2 linked regions of the Solanum lycopersicum genome follow. The protein of the gene in region 2 interacts with the protein of the main gene of each other region in a pairwise test. Links are inferred from orthologs where the notes say so. Each region holds a gene or a part of one and is shown on either strand. Other genes may lie near its edges.

What was found.
Region 1: the proteins of dehydration-responsive element-binding protein 2F (region 2) and WOX4 interact in binary tests that used the Arabidopsis thaliana proteins (3 or more experiments, as listed by UniProt). The link is inferred for Solanum lycopersicum from reciprocal best matches to the Arabidopsis thaliana genes AT3G57600 and WOX4.

Annotation. Positions count from the first base shown.
Region 1 is NC_090803.1:65,156,055-65,167,751, reverse strand, and holds WOX4, read left to right. Parts: upstream 1-5,266; 5' UTR 5,267-5,288; coding exon 5,289-5,555; intron 5,556-5,949; coding exon 5,950-6,237; intron 6,238-6,460; coding exon 6,461-6,634; 3' UTR 6,635-6,951; downstream 6,952-11,697. UniProt on the Arabidopsis thaliana protein: Promotes differentiation and/or maintenance of the vascular procambium, the initial cells of the developing vasculature.
Region 2 is NC_090809.1:60,754,477-60,765,393, reverse strand, and holds dehydration-responsive element-binding protein 2F, read right to left. Parts: upstream 4,869-10,917; coding exon 3,915-4,868; 3' UTR 3,862-3,914; downstream 1-3,861. Other genes in the region: adenylosuccinate synthetase, chloroplastic, read left to right, coding at 14-361, 1,172-1,864, 2,142-2,453, 2,913-3,083; uncharacterized protein, read right to left, coding at 7,544-7,690, 8,108-8,180, 8,477-10,515, 10,598-10,705, 10,860-10,917. UniProt on the Arabidopsis thaliana protein: Transcriptional activator that binds specifically to the DNA sequence 5'-[AG]CCGAC-3'. Binding to the C-repeat/DRE element mediates high salinity-inducible transcription.

The sequences.
Region 1 (11,697 bases), on a different chromosome or scaffold from region 2:
ATTTAATTGGAGACACAGAAGATGTTCAAATACAATAATGAGCTAGCTCAACATTAATGATCATTTGTCGATGAGTTTAAATTCTTTTACGTTTGATTGATAAAAATATTTTTGTTATTTTATAGAAATAAGAAAAAAAATAAGTTTTATAAATTATATGACAAGTTCATTATCTCCTCCTTACCAATCAATTTTAAATTCTTGAAAAACAAGTAAGAGAGAAATACGAACAAATAATTAGTGACTGAATCAATAATGAGAGTGTTATTATATATCCAAATGGCCACACGTACTCAACTCATTGTGTAACGTATATTATTATTCCTCCATTCTACTTTTTTACTTCTTTTTAATTAGTTTCATTATTTATAAGAACGTTCTAATCAGGCAAAATTTTAGGTTTGTCATCATATTTCATCTGTTACTTTTTTTTTCTTTTACCTTGAAAGATGAAATTAGATAATTATATGTTCACTTTGTTCAAGATTCTATTTACACTAATTATTATAAATCAGGTACAAAACCATCAGCACTTTGAAAAAAAAATTAAAAAACAGCTGGAGATTAATTAAAGAATCAATCAATCTAGAAAAACTTATATCTAATTAATTAATTTTAAACGAGTTTAAGCAAATAAAAAAATCTTTTTATTTTGGTGAGCTGTACTAAAAAAAAATAAAGTAAAAATAAATAAAAAAACTTAATAATTGGATATTTATATTCCTTTGACGTTGGGGCACCGAAACATTTAAATGGGATAACGTGACTAATTTCAAAATTGAAATCATTACAATATGTGAAAACATTTCTACGTAGAAAGAATGACTTCTTGGCAGGCCAATAACAAGACAATTTAATTTGGTATCTTGTCCAAACGACAAACCCATATGTAGAATTTTTTTTCTAACCTAATTTTCTTAGGTTTTGTAGGTACTAAGTCTACTAGATATGGTCTGAGAAAAATACAACAATAATAATATATAATTTCATAAGCGGATTCTGAAATGATGCGATGCATTCAACTTTATTCATATCTTCATAGGGGTAAAATTATGACCATAACATTAAATCAAGAAGTCTATATATATCGACAAAGAATACATAGGTATACAGGTAAGTAAAATTTACATCTTAATGATGTGTTTTAAAGTTGTGTGGATCTTGGTCCAAAGAGAATAATATCACTTAGTGGACTAGACAGTTACAAATGATATCAAAGTCACTCTTGTCTCAACCTTGTGTACGTGGATTAGATTTCAATTGAGTTTAGACAAATTTTAATAAGATGAGATAAATCTAATGAGTACTGATTTTAGATAAATTGTATGCGGTGAAGAAAAATCTCATGGAGGACGATAATTCCATAAGAGGGATTTAGGTGACACCTCATCTTATAAAGATAAAAAAAAAGTTCCACATAGGAATAAAAACTTAAGAAAAATGCTAGGTATAAACGTAAACAAATCTTACATCTGAATGATGCGTTTTAAAGCTTCGCTAACTTAGATTCGAAACAGACAATATTACTAGTGAATTGCATGAATCATTTTCAAATAACCCCTCCGTGAAGTTGTCAAAAAGTATGATAGCAAGATATCGATTTAAGTAATAAATAGTAATGAGAAAAAAAGTGAAACGAAAAACAACCTTTGCTTATTTTCAAAGGGTGCATGCAAAATCTCTCTTTTATGTACGACGTTAAATTGGATAGTAAATTTATTTATATATGAATATAATAATATAATTTGAATAAAGTTTTATGTACTACAGCTCCTACTATAAATTTGTCAGAGAAAAAAACATCGCATGTTTGATTGGACATCACTCTTTCTGTGTAAATAATTTTCAAACTTAGCTTTATTCAAACGAGTGGTTACTTGTCATTTGACACTCTCCACGCCTAAATTTTGAATTAATCTTACGAAGTTATATGTATGACTATCTAAAATTTCAAATATCATCATTACTTTTGTGAATTCGGGACATAATTTAATCGTAAAATTAGCTCATAAGAAAATAATGTGAAGGTATATATATTTTTTATTAACAGTGAACATTTGAATCTCGAACGTTTAATATGAAGGCTTGATTTTAATTAACAATAAATGAAATGAGTTTTGCCCAAATATCATGTTATTGACTTTGGACAGAATTTAATCGTATAAATTTGCTCATAAAAGATAGAATTGTCTTAGACCATATAAAGAGATCACTTATCATTTTTTTATCTGATGCGAAACTTTTCAATGAAATAATTGTGTTTAATTAATTTTGTGTGAGATGATTCGTAAATAAAAGCAGATAGAAAAATGAAGATTTATGTTCATACCAAGATCTATACGATCAAGAGTAGAAATATATAACTGGATCATAGATCTTTCAGAAATTGGGGCATAAATTTCAGCACTCCCTTGAAGACTTTTACTATAAAGTTGTTGTTGGATTCACATTTCAAGTTATCATAATACATAAATGGATCGTAATATTTGAATTTAACTAATTTTTATGTTTTTCAAATTTTTTATATACAAATAAACTCTTTAACTGGTTACATAAAATATTTTTACATGAAAATTCATGTGATACTCTATGTAAAACAATACATAGAAGACTTGCATCTACTTTACTCGATGCATACTCTAAAATTTAGAGAATAAAAATATCAACTGAGTCCAAATTAAAAAATTTATTCCAATCTATCATCAAATTGAGGACACAAATTAATTATCCTAAAAAATACAGACAAGACAAGAAATACCTGCCTTCAATAATAAGCTGCCACGTTTGTGAATAAGCCAGCTCCTATAATAACCTTTCTATATTTTAGTCAAGCTGAATATTTTCTTCTCTTTTTTTTTTTGACTTTTTTTATAACTCTTAGAAGAATTAATGGGTTTCGGTGCATTCTCAACATTAAATAAATTAAAAGAACAAAGTATTTAGACACACAAAAGAAAAAGAAAGATATGAATCAGTGAAAAATAATTTCCAACGTTCTTGACTATATTGTAGTATATAATTTGATGCCTAAATTAATAAAATTCAATCATTGATGGGTGACAGATAATTAGGGAATTACTTTGATGCATGTGCTTGAATCATGCAAAGACTTTTGCTATACAAAAATGGAGATAATAAAATTTTTTTAAAAAAAGTATGAGATAGTGGATTTTCTTTTAATAATATTTGGGAAATTGGAGTATACAGTTCCCAAAGAAAAAAGGGGATATTTGGGTTATGGGCATATAACTAAAGCTACATCAGATGGATTTTTGTCACATATATAGTATACAATATGTCTACACACGTCATGCATGTAATATACTCCCTCCTTTGTCCAACTTTATTAACCACTATATAAAAAAAAATACTATATAAATCGATATCTATTTTTACTTATCTAATTTGAAAAAATCGACGGACTACTATGTATCACGTAGTTTTATATTACCCTTACATACAACTATATTCAAATAATGATATAATGAGTAATTGTACTCTCTTCGTTAATTTTTATTTGTTTAATTTCAAAAACAAAAAGTTAATTTATCCATGTAATTGACTATAGTTGTTTGTCAATGCATTTTTAAAACTTTGATTTTATTATATTCAGCCAATGTTATTATAAAATTATTGTTTCATTTAATGCTCTTCAAGAACTGTGTCATGTTAATATTGAACAATAAAAAAAAGTAAAATTACATAATTAATTTCATAGTGTTAATTGTTAAGAGCAAATTATATCATCCCTATTCTTCTAAAACACAAAAATCCTTTAAAGATTATAACATTTCTAATAGGTACATTAGAAAAAAGCGAATACATAATTTATAAATTTTCAATGATACATTACTTAATGAGAGGGGATGAATTTGAAAAAAAATTAGAAATGTATCTGATAGAAAAAAAATATATCAAAAAGGAATGAATTTATTCAAGAGAGGATATAAATAGATGTTCTGAGAAAGAATTTTTATAATTTTTTCAAAAATTATTATTAAATATAGACAAATAAAAAAAATCAACGTATCAATAAATTGAGAGTGTTTTTTCTAACATAATATTCCACTACATAAAGACGGCATTCAATTTATTTTCCCCGTATCCGTATCTTGGAAAGAAACAAAGAGTTCCAATAAGGAGTTTAGGGATTGGTGGAAACTTTTTTTGCTTTAATAATTTATTTATTTTTCTTGTCCTAACTTTATTTAATTTTAATGATACATTATATTAAAAAAGTTTATTTAGAAGGAGAAGAGGCCACCGAAAAGCATGGACAAATTATAATGATTAAAGTAAGAAGAAGAAAGAAGAAAAAAAAAGGCAAAAAAATAGAGAGAAAAAAGAGAAGAAAAATTACTCATTACATTTTATTTTAGTTGATTAGACTAGCCAACTACACACACGCATACATTCACCCACACGCTCACCAATTCAATTCATTTCATTCATTCATAATAGTAATTTTACACCTTTTTTAAATTTTTTTTTTTTTTTTGCCTCTTATCTATAGCTAGCTAGCTCTCTATTGATCCACCTTTTTTTTTTCCTCTTACTTTTTAAAATGGAAATCATAAGTCAACCTCACCTCATCATTTGGTCTTGGTTCTTATAGGCACCCACCTCATTTCCCACTTTCTTTTATTATTAATTTTACCTTTTTTTCTTCGATACTTTTTTTTTCCAGAGAGTAACGTCAACATCCTGTCTATAACAAGGTGTACGAAGAAATTGGAGTGATTTGAGTCGATGTTAGAATCGATTAATCATTTTCTTCATTACCTTGCTTTTGCTAACGTTGAATAACGTCAATATTTTATTTATGACAAAGGTCCATAAGGGTGGTGGAGTGACTCGAGTCATAGCCAGGATCAATATAACGCTCGTTTGGTGGTTTAGTTGAGAAATAAAATTATGTCCTTGTGAATTACTTAACTTTCAAATTCTTGATTTATATATGTTCACATAAATATCTAATTGAATTTGTGTTAGACGATCACAATTTTCAAAAATTATTTTTTTAAAACTTTATGCCTCGTCAAACTATGTCACAGTTTACCTAACACATAATTCAGGTTAAAATTTTAACTTAATATAGATTGTTAGATTAATTACCGCATATAGTTATCTTTTAGGTGACTTGATGATTGCAGTGTAAAAATTCTTTTTTACACTAGCAACGAATGATGGTAGTTAAACTCCACCTTTTTTTAGTAGGAGTGATAATTGAGTTCTATATAATGGGGATGCCTCTAGTGGCATATGAATACTAAAAGCTGTCTAGCTCCATGTACATGGGATCATCATCAGGAAGCTTAAGTATGAAGGTGCATCAATTCACACGTGGATTCTTAGAGCATGAAGCTGCTTCTCCTTCACTTACACTTGGTTGCAAACGTTTAAGACCACTTGCTCCTAAGCTCAACACAACCAATAATGATACCACAACTACCATTGTTACTCCTCCTTTTGATCTTAAGAGTTTCATTAGGCCTGAAAGTAGCAATAGCCCTCCTAAACTTGCTTACAATGAAGACAAGAAAGACTCCTCTCAGGTAATTTCTAAATGTTTTTTTTTTTTTTTGCATATTTACGTAATGAGTTCAGTTGAACTAACAGAATTCGTCTTTAGTAGATGTATGAGTTCAACTGAATTCAATTGTTTTGACTTAAACTTTCTTAGATATGTACGAATAGTACATTTCAAATCGAATAACTCAAATGACCAGTGCATTCAGCTTCATCATGAATTCATAAAGTTTAAATTCTGACGTCTTATCACATCAAATGATAAAGGGAATATTCTTACTAACATCTTGAATTCATAAAGTATACACTTGATTCCACTAGTGGCATGTTAGGACATGTAGGAGATTCGCGAGGTCCATATGAATATACTTTTTTTTTTTGTTAGTGTGGTTGTTGATGTTTTACTTTTAACATATGTAGGTGGAATCACACCCAGGAGGAACAAGATGGAATCCAACACAAGAACAGATAGGGATACTTGAAATGTTGTATAGAGGTGGGATGCGTACACCCAACGCGCAACAAATAGAGCAAATCACAGCACAACTAGGAAAATATGGGAAAATAGAAGGCAAAAATGTGTTCTACTGGTTTCAAAACCATAAAGCCCGTGAAAGACAAAAGCAAAAGAGGAATAGTCTTGGCCTTAGCCAAAGTCCAAGAACACCATCAGCCATAGTCACTAGTCCTTTGTCATTTGACACTAGGGTATGTCTCATGACACGTTTATAACTAAGTTATATACACTGTCAGTATAATTTTATTTAAAAACTGTCCATCTATTTTGACATGTTATAACATGTTGCGTTATATTGTTACTTGTTGTAACGTATCAATAAGTATATTAATTTTGATATGAACCCTTTGCACTACTGTATTGATCTGTAGTTATCTTTTAATTGATCTGATATTGATTTGTTACTCGATACAGGGAGAAGTAGTGAGGGATGAAGATAGTCCATACAAGAGAAAGTGTAGGGGATGGACATTTGAATACATGGAGGAAGAACAACAACAACAAGATGAAGAAGAAATTATAAATTGTAGAGAAAATGGTGATAGGACTCTTCAACTCTTCCCATTGCATCCAGAAGGCATGAGATGATGAATTTATTATAAGAATATTCTTTTTTCCTTTTTAATTATGATCTGACTAGCTTCCTTTTTTTTTTTTTACTTATTTTCGTCATCTTTAATTTTTACTTTCTTCATTTGCATGCTTTGTTTCCTTTTCTTTTATTTTTTTCCTTGTTTTGGGAAAGAGAAAAGAGAAAAGAGAGACATATGAATCATCAAATCTATGTAGTACCAATTCACTTCTCTTGAATTTTGGGCATTTTAGTGACTTATTCCTGACCTAAAATACCCTATCTCCTATGTCTCATTGGAAATGCTGCAAAAATAATCTATTATTTTCTTCTTCTTGTGGTTGATACTTATATGTCAATTCTTATTTAAAAATAAAAAACGACCATGAGAAATCGTTGCTTAGTAATATTCAGTAACCACCTCTATTTTTAGTTTTAAATTTGTAGGTTCAAATCACTAAAGAAGCAATAAGGTGACAATGAAGTGGTAGAAGAAATATGCCAACGGATTTTTAGGCTAAATTAGTTATCTCACCTATCAAAGTATTGGTCTTTGGGTTGTGTCTCTCTCTTTAATTAGTCTATAAAATACTTAAAGATGAAATCAAGATTTAAAATTTATAAATATTTATAATTATAATAACTCAAGTAAAATACTATGATAACAGTTAGATTAAATTTTAATATTTAAATTTTTTTTTAAATATTATTAAATTTACGTAAATTTAAAATGAAGCGTCTAGATTTTCGATGATATTATTCACAAAAGGGGTGATGAAGACACTGAAGTCCACGCACATATCTTTATATAATTCTTCTTTTTTGTTGTTATTTGAGAAATTCAAAGCTGATGGGGTCGGATTAGTGGTTGATTTTTCTTTACATTAATTAATATGTTATTCATGCTAAGCTATAGTACTTTGATATTTGATTTTTTAAAAAAAAAATTCAATTTGTGGAAGACTTTGATAAAGTTGCTTAGCCCATGGCATGTCAATCAGAAGACATGCAATTTCTTTTTTATTTTATAATGTTGACTAATGGATTGTGGGGTAGAAGATCAGTTCATAGATATGACTTTGGAGGGAAAGCAAATAAAACTTAGATTTAAAATAAAATAAAATAATAAAGAGTAGGGTGTAGTTGGATAATTAACCAAATAAATTAATATAGTTAATGATGGAATTTCGATTAGGTAGATAATTAATGCAAAAGGAGATTGATTCATTATATCTTTAATGTGTCTTTTTACTTATTTAGGTTTATGTTTAGTCTTAATTATTTAGATTTTAATTATTTTATTTTATTTTTCAAGTTTGAATTTATCTATTAATATATTAATTATTAAATATATTTGTCTGTCTTGTTTTGTAATTACAGAATCCAAATGAATGATATTTGACAATTTTTTAATTTCATTCAAATGTTTGTTAACAATTTCTTTGTAGAGTAAAATTATAATATTACTTTATCCACTTTAATCAATTTTCTTCAATCATCTTTTAGACTTCAGCACAATCACAAATATTATCAATCATCACAACAATATTCACCGTCATCAATCATCATTATTCGTTACCAATCACTATTACATGCATATTCAACTTACATTATTATCACTAACATATACTACAAATTATCAATTGTCATCATCAAAACTACATGATCAACCTATACCATTCCAATACGCACACACAATCACCATCTCCAACCGTAATTATCATTAACCGTCATATGATTATTTTTTTAAAAAAAAAAATTGATAAAATATTAGATCTATATTTTGTTCATAATATTACATGTTGTAGTTTTTAAAAAAGGCATATTATCCATTTAAAAGTTGAGAAAATAAACAATCTTGATAATTTAATTTTTAATTTTTAAACTTAATTTAATAATAATAATAATTAAAAATAATAATAATAATAATTTGTTAGGGAATATATTGGTGCTATTTATGTAAGTTCTTCCAATTTTTCCGTTAACAATTTTACATAAAATTTGGATCTTATGCCGAATCGCAAACAACAAATTAGGCCCAAGTAGATAAATACATGGACGGATCATTGATTCTTGTGATATGCGTTGTGGGCTTTAGGCCCAAATGCTATTAACCACGAGAAGCTTTTCGGAGGTGATTTGCACAAATATGTTTAATTCCGTTGTGGTATTTAAAAAGGAAAATTACGGAAATTGGATCCACTAGGTAAAGTATTTACTCAAATTAGATCAAATTCAAACTATTTAACTTGATTGGATCCACTGCTTCATCATTCTTAATATCATTGGAGTAGAGGTGGATCTAGGAATTAGGGTCACTGGGTGCCAAGCAGAGGCGGACCACATGATAGGGGTGCACGTGCATCTGTTAACTTCAAAAAGGTTACGTGTATATATATATATATATCTATCGTGAGAAACTGACATAAAGTAGGATATAATAAACTCTACCCATAAGAGGTATAGGGGTGCCCTTGTTTAGTTGGTACAAGCCGGAGGAACCACTCGCGAGAATACAATTCAATCTTATTTTATTATTTTTATTTTAAGTTTAGCTTATAAATCATATTCGAGCCATTAGTAACCAATCAAATACTACATTATTCATTAATTGTAGTGAAATTTTCGTTAACTACCTAAATTAAGATAGTGTTGGTGCATCGAAATCTCCAAATTTTAGATTGTCTCTAATGCTCAGTAGGCTCATCGATTAAATCAATTTTAGATTCAAATAGAATTCGTCTTGTGGCTGGACGGAGAGCAGAATTGGGCGACGGACGGAAGCTTGAAGCTTTATTTAATGACAACTTTTTCTTGTTGAAAAGTTTAAAGGAGGTTTCAACGGTAAAGATAATTTTTTTAATATATTTAATCATGTAAAAGAAAAGTGAAAGAGTTAAATTAAATTAGTTAAAAACAATTATTAATTAATACTCCCTCCCACCCATTTTATGTCGCAACATTTGACTAGAAATAATGAAAACTTTGAAATGTTACCAAATTGTTTTCAAAAAAGTAACTCACTTTTCTCTCTCTTCATAAATGTATTAGAAAATTAAGTGGGACCAATAACGGTAAAAGAGAAATTATTCCTCTAAATACTTATCATATAAGGAAATGTGACATTCTTTTTTAGACGGACCAAAAAGAAAATCAAAAATCAAAAATCAAAAATCAAAAAAAGAATGTGCTAGTAGTTTAAAAAACAAACGCTGCCTGTGGTTAAAAAGAAAAATTGAAACAAAATAAGGCTGTTGCCTGGAATCAATCTCTTTGAACCAGGGGTTGTTAGCTTGCGGGTCTACCATTGCCCCACAGAACAATTTTGTTCTCTGGGTGGCACGGATATAATTTATACAAATATTATATTTATATATAAATAAAATTTTCATGAATGGCGTGACATCCCCACGTACCTGAATGGATCCGCCACTTCATCGAACTATATAAATACTTTAATAATATCAATTAGTAATTGATCAGTATTTTCACTAAAACACTACATATTCCTCCTAGATGTCACCGAGTGGAATCAATGCATCTAATTGTCATACCAGTAGCTGATCACATACTCAACAGCAGAATTAATTGAAAATATTATTAATTGATTGGTAATTTGGATAGTTTCATTCCTTAAATTTCCTTGGTTTAATCATCTCATATTTTCATTTTGCATGTTATACTGTTTGGTAGGTGTACTTCCCCACATTTAATAAAAACTAATAATTGATCAATTATATCATCCAGATAGGATATTATAACATTTATTGAAAAATGCTATATATAGTAATTCAAATTATGATGTGAATTATATGTGTGGAGGATAACTGACCAAGTTTGAATAGCTGATTACATTTATTGATTTAATGAGAAAGAAACATAAATTGGTGTTAGGTATTTAGGTGGTAGTGACATATACATCTATTATAAGTTTTAGTGGTTGAATGGACATAATTATCAACATGTTCTATATTTTTCATGTACTTTTTAGCATGAAGTTGAGACGATAAGATATATATATATTTTTTTAATTTTTCATTTAATATCTGAAGCTCACATTGAAGTCTCAATTAAATTCGAATCGCATATTACAAGGCCTATCTAGAGATGACACTTCAAATAAAATTTTCTCTATACTTAAAGCTCCCAAATTCGATATCTCTGGTTGAAAATTGAAAAATCTTACTACTGCATCATAACCTATGTTGGCCTTAATACTTTCTGTCATTCTCTTGACAGCCTTTCGTTTCTCAAACTTTTGCTAAATTGCCTTTGACAATTATTTCAAAAATAGTGATATGTTAGAATCTCTATACACAAGATCTGTTTTTTTCTTCTTTTTTGGAGTGGTCACTTCACGTGATGCAGAACTTCAGAGACATAATGAATTAAAATAGAAAAAGATAATAAATAGGGACTATCTGATTTTTGGGACCATTAGAATAACACATATGACCTACACAGAGCTAAGTGTGGGTATATATATAACCTATACTTTTTGGCACTTCAATATTTCTATATAGGTAGAAAAATTATATCCACACAAAGATTATGTACTTCATATGGACAGTTCTTATTATATATGGTATTTATAAAGATAAAAGGAACCAATTATGAAGGAGTCAGAGTGTGTGAAGGGGGTTCAATTGAATCAACCTAGTTTGAAATCTCATCACACAAAAACGATAAATGTGTATTATTTTAGGTCTTAGATTCAAATTTTTGAATCCCTTGTTAATATTTCTGGCTTCTCTACTGAAACTTCTACCTTATTGTTATTGGCCATTCTTTAGAAGTTCAAAAATCCAAATAGATACGAGACATAGTTGTGAAGCTAAGAATAAATAACGAAGTTTAATGAATCCTCTTCTTTTGAAATATTCTATGCGATTTAATTAGAGTGAAAATATGTAAAGCTTTTCACATCGAGCCTTTAAGGATGGATGGTCTCTTTATTATTATGACTTAAATAGTATATCCTTACCTTTATAACTAGCTTTTAGGGTTAAGTTGATTAAAACTCTATTTCGTTATGAAATAACTATATTGATATATACATGATCCGATTAATCTTGATCTT
Region 2 (10,917 bases):
CGGTGCCGCCACCATGAACATGTCAACCATGAGGCTTGATGCCAGCTCAATCACAACGGCGAAAGCTACAGCGACGGCGAAGGTGAGTCACCGGAGTGGGACCATCGGTTACAATGGGACCAATAGTTGTAGGCTCATTCAGTTCCAGCAAAGGAAGAAGAAGGCTTCTTCAATGATAGTTTGTTCGAAAAATCCGCTTGCCTCAGTAGTGGATCGTCAAGGGGTCAACGAGTCAGGACTGAGTCGAATTGAGTCACTGAGTCAGGTATCAGGCGTGCTGGGTTGTCAATGGGGTGATGAAGGAAAGGGAAAGCTCGTTGATATATTGGCTAAGCATTTTGATATTGTTGCTCGTTGTCAGGTATATTTAAATGAGTTCATTATTGGTATTATCATTTCGATTAATTCAACGGGATACCAGCAACTCTGTCCCGCTAGAAGAAATCACCTAGTGTTTTGTCTCTGCTGAAATTAGAACTAGGCCACAGCCTTGGGTGCTATATGAGTTTGTGTCCGAGCGATAACTTCCTATAACCGTTAAATAACACTCATACTGTATAGTTAGCATCTTAGAGTATACTTTAGGCCAAATCAAGAACAGTATTTGCTTCATTATTTGGAATTTTTTGTTAGATATGCTTGGTTTCAGTAAGTGGGTGAGTTAGGATTCAAGAGGCCTCCAAAAGAAGCCCTAGTGATACCTTAGGATCATAGTTTCTTTTGATTCTAGAGTTTCCTCGTATTATTTTTTTTGATGCAAGTGTATCTGTAGAAACAGAGGCAGAGTGTAGAGTTGAAAGAGAAAATTTTCCTCGTATTACTTTTCGATCACTTGATTGCTCCCATTTGGTACCTGCTGGAACTACCTCATAACTCTATCTACCAAGGCTTGGACAAATACGGTGAAATCACATACTGTTTTCAACTACAAGAGATTTGAAAATTAGAGTTCAGGGTTCTCAACCCAATGACCTAAGTCATGTCTTTAGGTGAAAGATCAAATATTTTTTGTATAATGTTCATATATATTTCTCATCTATACCATTTTGTTTTAAATTGTTGTTTCTATTTATTTCTCATCCTACCATTCTACTTTACTTTATATTGCTTGGGATAGATAAACTTGTTAACTATGCTAGCTGAGCTTTTCAATAATGTTTTTGGTTGTAAGGGAGGAGCCAATGCTGGGCACACTATTTACAATTCTGAGGGGAAGAAGTTTGCTCTGCACCTTGTCCCTTCAGGGATTCTCAATGAGGAAACTTTATGTGTTATTGGTAACGGAGTCGTGGTACATCTACCAGGACTTTTTAATGAAATTGACAATCTTGAATCTAATGGAGTTTCTTGTCAAGGAAGGATTTTGGTATCAGATCGTGCTCACTTGTTATTTGATTTTCACCAAGAAGTAGATGGGCTTAGAGAAGCTGAGCTAGATAAGTCCTTTATTGGTACCACCAAGAGAGGCATTGGGCCTTCCTATTCAAGCAAGGTTATTCGAAATGGCATAAGGGTTAGTGATTTAAGGCATATGGACACATTCCCCCAAAAGCTTGATCTTTTATTATCAGATGCCGCTTCAAGATTCCAAGGTTTTAAGTATTGCCCTGACATGCTCAGGGAGGAAGTGGAACGCTATAAGAAATTTGCTGAGAGGTTGGAACCTTTCGTTACAGATACTGTGCACTTCATGAATGATGCTATATCTCAGAAAAAGAAGATTTTGGTAGAAGGTGGTCAGGCAACTATGCTGGATATCGATTTTGGGACATACCCTTTTGTCACTTCATCCAGTCCATCAGCTGGTGGAATCTGCACAGGTCTTGGAATTGCTCCCAGAGTTGTCGGTGATCTTGTTGGTGTGGTAAGCAAACTCGATTTATTTTCTTAAAAGAATTTTTGTCCTTTTATACTGAAGAATGAAGAACAGTTTTATCTTTCCTAAAACTTATTGCTGTACATCTATCATCGTCAATTAGCTAAACGTGTGATAAACCCAGATTTTAGCCATAAGAATATGATCCTCATATCAACTAGCTCTTAGGAATCAATTGACTGCATGGTCCTTCAGTCTGCATTTATCGCACTTTATGCACAGAGCAGCAAATATTGAGCTGTTTTAATTGATGCTTTTCCTGCAGGTTAAGGCATATACGACAAGAGTTGGTTCTGGTCCTTTCCCAACAGAACTCATGGGCGAATATGGCGATCTTCTTCGTTCTGCTGGGCAGGAGTTTGGTACAACTACTGGACGCCCGCGTCGCTGTGGTTGGCTAGACATAGTTGCACTAAGATACTGCTGTCAAATAAATGGATTTGCTTCTCTAAACCTGACAAAACTAGATGTGCTGTCAGATCTATCAGAAATTCAGTTGGGTGTTACTTACAGGCATCCTGATGGTTCAACATTAAATTCTTTTCCTTCTGATCTAAGTCTTCTCGAACAAATAAAGGTAAGTTTCTTTTGTTTTCCCACTTCAACATCTTTTTACGTGATGATCTTTGTGGTGTTTGGAAGACCAGATTATTAGTTTCAATTTTTATGTGAATGTTTTGGGAAATTGAGCCATATTAACACATTGATGTGTGGGAAAACATTAAAACCTTTTCATAAAAGTTATGTTTTTCAGCGAGGAGTTAACTATAGTTTAATTTCCTCTACCCTATTACCGGAAGGTGGATGAAAATGAAGTTCCCTAATTTTTGCAACTTTTTTGTTCTTTCAATCTGCCTTTTCTCTCCCATATATCATGATTTTTTTCTATTGGCTTTTCATGTCGGTAGACCTTTAGTATGCATATTGATACTTCTTTAATGCCCCATGTTGCTTGTATCTTATTACCGTTTTCTATTTTCTTGTATTGTGTGTTTGTGACTTCTACTATATGTTTTCCTTTTTCTCATCTATGTAGGTGGAGTATGAAGTTTTGCCTGGATGGAAAACTGATATTTCTTCAATCAGGAAGTATTCTGACTTGCCCAAGGCTGCACGCGAGTATGTAGAAAGGATAGAGGAGCTTGTTGGGGTACCTATCCACTACATTGGTATTGGGCCTGGTCGTGACGCCCTTATCTACAAGTGATTTTAGATACGCTCGTCATATTACCAGAATCATATACTTCAAATTGCTGGTAAACCTTAGCTAAGCTTGTAGTAACTTTAGGCATTATCAATTTGATGTCGTTGCTTAATGTAACAATAATGTACTTGTTGTTTTTAAAGCTAGATATACGCCTCCCTGTTTTCCTTTCGGGATTTTGTTGAACCTCCCAAGGAACAGTCAGTTAAGAACGCCACTAGCTTGCTTGAGTGATGACGCTTCTCCCTGTATTGAACTGTTTGCCATTTTAACTTTTGACCTGTTGATCTATATCAGAATTTTCTGTTGGTAAACGTATGTACTCGGGATAATGCATGAGAACAACCCTCAACTGTGATGAAACTGTTGGTTACACGTCTAAACCATGCGAGTATCCTATTACCCCGGAACTTAATTTTCAAGCTTGCACTCATTTCTGTGTTCAACCTGTGGTGTCTATTAAGATGATGTTACTTCACTGTTAATAGTGGCTTAGGAGGCTCTCCTGGGTCTGAGAAGAATGGATTGAGCAGACATTGGTCTCTTAAACTATAAATCAATTTATTGTATGGTTAAAAATATATAAGTATGTATTTGAAAATTTTTATTGTGAAATATATAGAACATGAACTTAATTAATTCCCAGTTTTTTAAAAGAACTGAATCTAAGTTCCACGTGATAGAGGACTCTCTATTTTGAAATACAATTGGTTTATAATTGCCTGACTTGATATTTAATTAAGTTTTTTATTCTATTTAAGTTAAAAGTTCTGCAATAGCCTTATATAGTCGGTTAAAATATACCGACATTCAGTGTATATAAGATAAATTCTTTCAAAAGTTCCATATTGAAGATGGAAACATAAGCTCATCATTCACATTATAAAAGCTATTAGCCTCTTCTGCTGCTACCTCATGATCTTCTATACCTGTTATTGAACCCAATGTGTCCCAATTGTAACTTGTTGTATCACCAAATAAATGAGCAATTGAACTATCGTCTTTTAGTGAAACTCTTGACTCTGTGAAACTACTGATGCTATTATTATTATGATCATGATCTTGATTTTTATCAGGCTGTTGTTGTTGATGATGATCGTCTCTTTTCAGTATTCCTATCTGTTGAAGAAATTCATTCAGATCAATCTGAGGCTTCTCAGCTTGATCACCACGAACGGCTACATTGTTGTGTGATGAGAATTCATCTTCCTTCTCCTTGATCATCACGTGTGGACTTGTCATTGTCAAGTATTCAGGTTGTAATTTACTATACTTTTGAGTTTCATTTTTGGGAATGTCGGTGATTGATGAACTCGAAGATGAGGCTGCTGCTGCTGCTGCTGTTGCAGCCGCGGCCTCTGCTCTCTTGAGTTCTTGAAGCCTTTGGTGAATTACATGAACATTTGGCTGAGCACTTAAGTTGAGTAAGCCAGTGGTATTTGGTATCAATGATGAAACAAAGTTGTTGGTTGATGAAAACCATTTGAACTTTTGTGATTTGTTCAGTGGATTGAAATTAGCTCTCATATGAGGTAAATTAAGGTAAGCTTCTGGTCCATATAATCTTCTTGCTGCTTCATCATAAGCCATTGCAGCTTCTTCAGCTGTAGCAAAAGATCCTAACCATAGCCTAGTTCTCTTTTTAGGCTCTCTTATTTCTGCTACCCATTTACCCCATGTTCTCTGTCGAACGCCTCGGTATTCACATAACGCGTTCTGCGGGCCCCCTTTCCCTCTTGCCGGGCCCTTCTTCCATGGTTTTAGTGGATTTCTTTTGTAGCTATCCATAAAGCCCGTTCAGTACGCTAGACTAGATTATCTGTATCGTACTGAAAGGCCAAAGCTTAGTGAAGTGTAGTTAACTTTGGATAAGTAGGCGAAGCAAAACAACAGACTTTAGTGTGTTAACTTTTCGGGCCAAGTGAAAGCCCGTTCAATACGCTAGACTAGATTATCAGTGTCGAAGATCCGTAGAGTGTTCACTTTTCGGGCTAATTGAAAGCCCGTTTATAGTACGCTAGACTAGACTATCAGTGTCGTACAAGAAAGTGTAGTATTGTTTTTTTTTTTGCTAAGTGTTGAGTGTGAGATATATATATTGGAAGGAGTAGTAATATATATATGTGTGTATAAGGGAAGAATTTGTAGTTTTGATTTAAATGTTTTCACGTTTGTTAGTGTTATAAGAGCTCATGCATGTGACCGTTTGAGCTAAGTAGTAAACAGTGTACACTGAATATAATGTCAAAGTCACATTATTCTTTAGTTCTAATTTCTCTCATTCTTTCATTTTACGAAGTTTAAGTTATACACAGTGACAATAATAGATAAAAATTCTACACAATCAGGTTATTTATACGGTAAAACGGATAACCTAAGGGAAATGATAAGTGGTTCTATAACACTCTATACAAATAGATGATTAGATTCATAATTTACTTTTTCTAGCTGAAATATATAGATTATATACTGATTATGTATGATTATACACATATTGCATGTATTATAATATATTATATATCCATCGATTACTTTTAGTTTAAGTGGTTGCGTCAATGTTATTTAGGTTAATTCTTCTCTTTATTTATCTTATTGTCTGATCTAAAAGAATTTTTTTTCCTTTTCATTTTACTCTTTAATTCTAACTTTTTACATGTCATGATTAAGATCATAAGATCAAATGCAACTTTTTTGACATTATTTTACCTATCTTCCGTTTAATACCATAAGATAAAAAAAAACCTTCTCCATTTTCTTAAGCTTCATTTCGTGTCAAAGTAAAAATCATATAAAGAAAGACAATACTCTCTAATGAAATCCATCATTGTTGTAATCTCAAACTAAAAAGATTGCTTTGAATTGAATGAAGTATGACACCTCACATTCCTTGGATTCTCTAATTTAATAATAAATTCAAAATGGTCTAACACACTACACTCTTCTTCTCTCATAAAAGTCACAGAAGAAGAAATACTAGCCAGTGATGAATTTTTACTAATAAATTTTGTATAAGTATTAAAAAGCACCTCACAAGAATTTTTGAAATTCACGAGCCTCTAAATTTCACATGTATTTTTTTTCCTGACATTCACAGCCTGATTCTCGAGTCTTTACATTCATCTTTATCCCATGCAGTCTTATACGTACGCACACAACACAACTTGAACCACACTCTCAAATGGACTCGAGAATGACAGAAGTAGATTCAGAATTTAAAGTTATAGGTAACGTTTTATATGATAGATTCAAAAGAAAGCGTGATTTTCAAGGTCACGAAGTGACAAATGGATTCAGAATAGACTCGAGGAAAGTTCGATTTTCGAGGTCAGGGAGTGGCATGGTTCTCAAGTTATATCATAAATATTAACAATTGGGTTCATAGTTTGAGTATTTATAGATATTTAATGAATTTCTTAATAAATTAACAATCTGGACAAAAGTTAACTCACAATTTATGTTATTTTGTGGATCCAACGTCCACCCCAGAGATATATATATATATATATATATGATTCGGAAGGAGTTCGATCGAATTTCCCCGTTAGAGAATTACATTGTACAAATAGGAAAAACGTTACGGACACATCGATCCAGTAAATAGAGGACACGTGGCATTATTGTTTTTTTTCCCGCTACACTCGATTCGATGGGAGGGGTATAAAGGTCATTTCACCCAGTAAACTAATGACAAGTTGACCAGAAATGGTATACAGAAAAAAAACTAGTTGAAGAAGACTAATAGTAATATGTAGTAGTAAACCTGTGAGAGTAATAAAAGGAGAAACACGGGCTTATGTTCCCCTTTGCATATATGATGACGAAATATAAGCTTACCAATTTGTTGAAGAACGAAAGGATAGAATGTACGTAGATCTTACACTTACCTCGTGGAGGATTGTTATGCACGTCGTACATACATGGAATAGAAAAATACAGAATATATACACACACCATAACCATAGAACTAAATAAACATGTTTCTTGCACAGTGAATCCCTGCCTAGTCAATGTCTTAAATTGTATCATTCATTTGATGAGAAATCAAAAGAAATAACTAAAACTCGAGTGGCTGAAGCTGGAACAACTACTTTCGAAGCAACAGAATTAAAACTGTCACAAATCGATGTCGTATTCATACTTCAAAAAGTGACCATTTCATATCATTGACATCATAAAAGATCAAACAAAGTGGTAGACTTGCTAAACAAGGTTGTTATTAAATCTTCAAAACATTTACAAGCAGGAATTTCAACGTTTCTACACTTAACCTAGAGAAAAGTTCATAACAAAATGCTATTTTCTGGAAGCTGCATGGGAACTTCTAATTTTGGCTTCTTACCTTAATTCATTCCAAAAAAAATTCTAACAAAAACTACCATCGAAGAGACTTTAGCAACATAAAGCACTCAACAATTTTAGACAACAAATACATATATATAGAGTCTATTTTAAAAAAGAAACCTTTATGTTTCTTTCTCGTCTGCTTTGCTAATGTTTCTCCACTTATCTTTGAGGTCCCCCGGTGTCCTACCTTTCATGAAAACATCACCTCCAAAATCTAGAATCCTCTTCCATCTATCATGAAAATGTGAGAATCGTAGCAATCCCTCCTGCGAAAGCAACAACAAAGGCTAGTAAAATTGATATATTTCCCTTAAATATACGCAACATGAAAGAAAAAGCACAGCTGCATGTAAATTCCTCCAACGTTCAAGTGAAACCAACAAAAAGGAACCCCTTATTCCTATTGAATGGGACAATCTTTTCTTTTTTCATAAGTAAATATATGTGCACTTACAGAAAAAGAGATGAATTTTACCTTCTATTTAAACAAAGGGGTGCATTCTTACCACGTTTTCAAGAAGAGAGAGAGCATGAGACAGAAAACAAGCAAAATTTAGACAAAAGAATATGCATGATCTACCTTCTATTTGAACAAAGGGGGTGCATTCTAACCACATTTTCAAGGAGAGAAGAAGCGTGAGGCAGTAAACAAGCAAACTTTAGACAAAAGAATATGCATGTACCTTTAATGTTTCCTCCTCCATTTTTGTCCATGGGAGCTTCTTCCTCCTCATTTGAGGAATCCAGGGACAGAAACTGCAAATTAAAAGTACATCCTTTATCAACAGAGTTTCCAACTACTCCCTCTAACAATAAAAATGAACAGCAAACTATCAGAGGTATAAATCATAACCAAAAAAAAAAAAAAAAAACAGTAATTCACGTGCCTGATTATCACTATTAACAAAATGTTTTGATTCAATATAAAAGAGATGAGAAAACAGAAATAAGTGCAGACACTTGAAAGTATAAGTGAATCAGATGACACTTCTTGGAAGAATATATGAAGCGACCACATGATTTGAATAAGTGGAGAAGTGCAAAAGACTTACTTGTTTTCTTGATTCCTAAATTGTACAAGGTATCCGGAACCTATCTCATCTTGCTCTTCTTCAGAACTTACTTCTATAGAAGAACTTTCTTGGCACACATGTTCATGAGGAACATGTGGTTGAGGTGGATGGACCTGCGTGACCTCCGCATGCATAGAATTTCTAGTTACTGGATGACTTCCTGCTGGTTCAGCCTTCTCCAAAGAATTTTTGTTTCTATTCTCATCATGACACAATTCTTCTTCCTCTCTGGACTGATTCTGTCTTGATCTATGACTTCCTGCTGGTTCAGCCTTCTCCAAAGAATTTTTGTTTCTATTCTCATCATGACACAATTCTTCTTCCGATCTGGACTGATTCTGTCTTGATCTATGTCTTGATCTCTGACATCTAAGAGGTGATTTGTCGGGTTGTTGACCAGCTACTAAGCATTGTTCAGGTAGAGAAGCCTCTGGTTGAGGTGAACCAGTTTGCATGACTTGAGCTCCGACAGAACTCCGGTAGGGTGGAGCACTTCCTGCTTCTCTGACCTCATTCAACGAATTCCTCCCACTATCATTGTGGGGTAGAGAAGTTCCTGGTTGAGGTGCACCAGTTTGCATGACTTGAGCTCTGACAGAACTCCTGTCGGCTGGAGCACTTCCTGCTTCTGTGACCTCATTCAATGAATTCCTCATTTTTTCATTGCAAGGTAGAGAAGGCTCTGGTTTAGGAGCACTGGTTTGAATGACTTGAGCTCCGACAGAACTCCTATCGGCTGGAGCACTTCCTGCTTCTGTGACCTCATTCAATGAATTCTTACCCTCTCGAGATTGATGCTTCTTCATAACTTGTGACCTAGGTAGTGACTTCTTTGATTGTTTTCCAGCTCCCATGCCAATAAATGCAGCCAAATCATTCCTAGCAAGTGAGACCTTCTTCTTACATTCCAGGTACTCAGAAATGGCTCGAGAATATGCACAAAAGGGGCAATAGAAGCTTCCTTTGTAATCAAAGTTGGGTGCAGAAACCAAGCAACTTTCATGAACCACCAAAGAGCAAGTATCAGAACTACAAACTAATAAATTTTCCCCCTTGTTACACTTCACACAAAGATTAAGCTCTGTACAGTCAATAATTGCCAAAGAATCTTCACCCTGAGCGTATTGCAAGTTCAAAAAATCATTTTTATGTGAAGCAAGAGCAGTACTCTCATAGTGATACTCATCAGTATCACTAGAGAACTCAGATTCACGACTTTGCTCAATATTCTCTTTGTCTGCATTAGAAGGTTCGCCATTTTGCAGATCTCGTGGAAGATTATAATCCAGGTCACCTTTGGAGCCACAAGTGCGAGAATCCTGCTGAATCACACGCAGGGATGAGTCACTTGATATTCCCTGTTCAGGACAACAATTACTGCTACTTCCAATATTTTTGAACTTCTTGTCTGAACTCATTCTTTGAGGCAACAGATCCTTGATACTAGAGTCAATGCCACATAAAACACTTGCTGATCCAGCATGCTTTGCTTTACCATCCTTCAGGCATCCATTTGCTTCGAGGGTACCATCACCTTTCGAGTTCCTTTTTTGAACAATAGATTGACTTCCTCCACATGATTCTGCTGGGACTCCACCTCTTTGAGACGATATCAAATCAGGAACAGTGTTCTGAATGAAACCAGCAACATCCTGCTTAAACTTTTTGGCTGCCTTTGCACATGGATCAGAACTTATCTCTGGTATGGCTTTAGTTTTATTGACTTCTATTTCATAAGCAGTAGGGGCATCAAAACTTCTCTTAACAGGCAGCAGAGAGCTTCCAGGCTGATTTTCTTGCAGGCCATTCTTGTTGCCCTGTATTAAAGTATCCAAGTTCTCAGTTGGTGCAGCATGTCGGGTATTCACACCTCCTATTTTACGTCCCTGCTTAAAGCCATCAGAATCAATAGCATCAGCAGTAACACCGTCTCTGTAGTGGTTCCCCAACTCCAATCCACTTCTTTCTTTCAAGGAAGTGGAAAAAGAAGTCGTCGATTTCACAATCGCATCTTTAAACTGTTTATCAACAGAAAATATAGCAAATCCCAATCAGGCATATTTTCATATTTCCAACCAATTCAAAAGACGACTAGCTTACTTGTTGCAAGTGACTCTTTGACAAGATAGATCTCTTTTTCGTAATGAACGACAGAACATCCCACTTTAACATATCTGGAGTAGCTGTTTTTAGATTTGATGCAGACACCTGTACATTTACATGCAAAGACACAACTAAGCATATGTAAAACAGAAGTAACTCTAAAGGAGACCATTCCCTTGAAATAGGTCCCTTGCATGGAGCTTTCAAATAACCGAATCAAATAATCTACCATATATAAGTAGAAGACGGAACTAATTACCTCCAACAATATGCAGCGAAGGACATCTTCGCAGTCCCTTGACGGATCAAGTTCAACT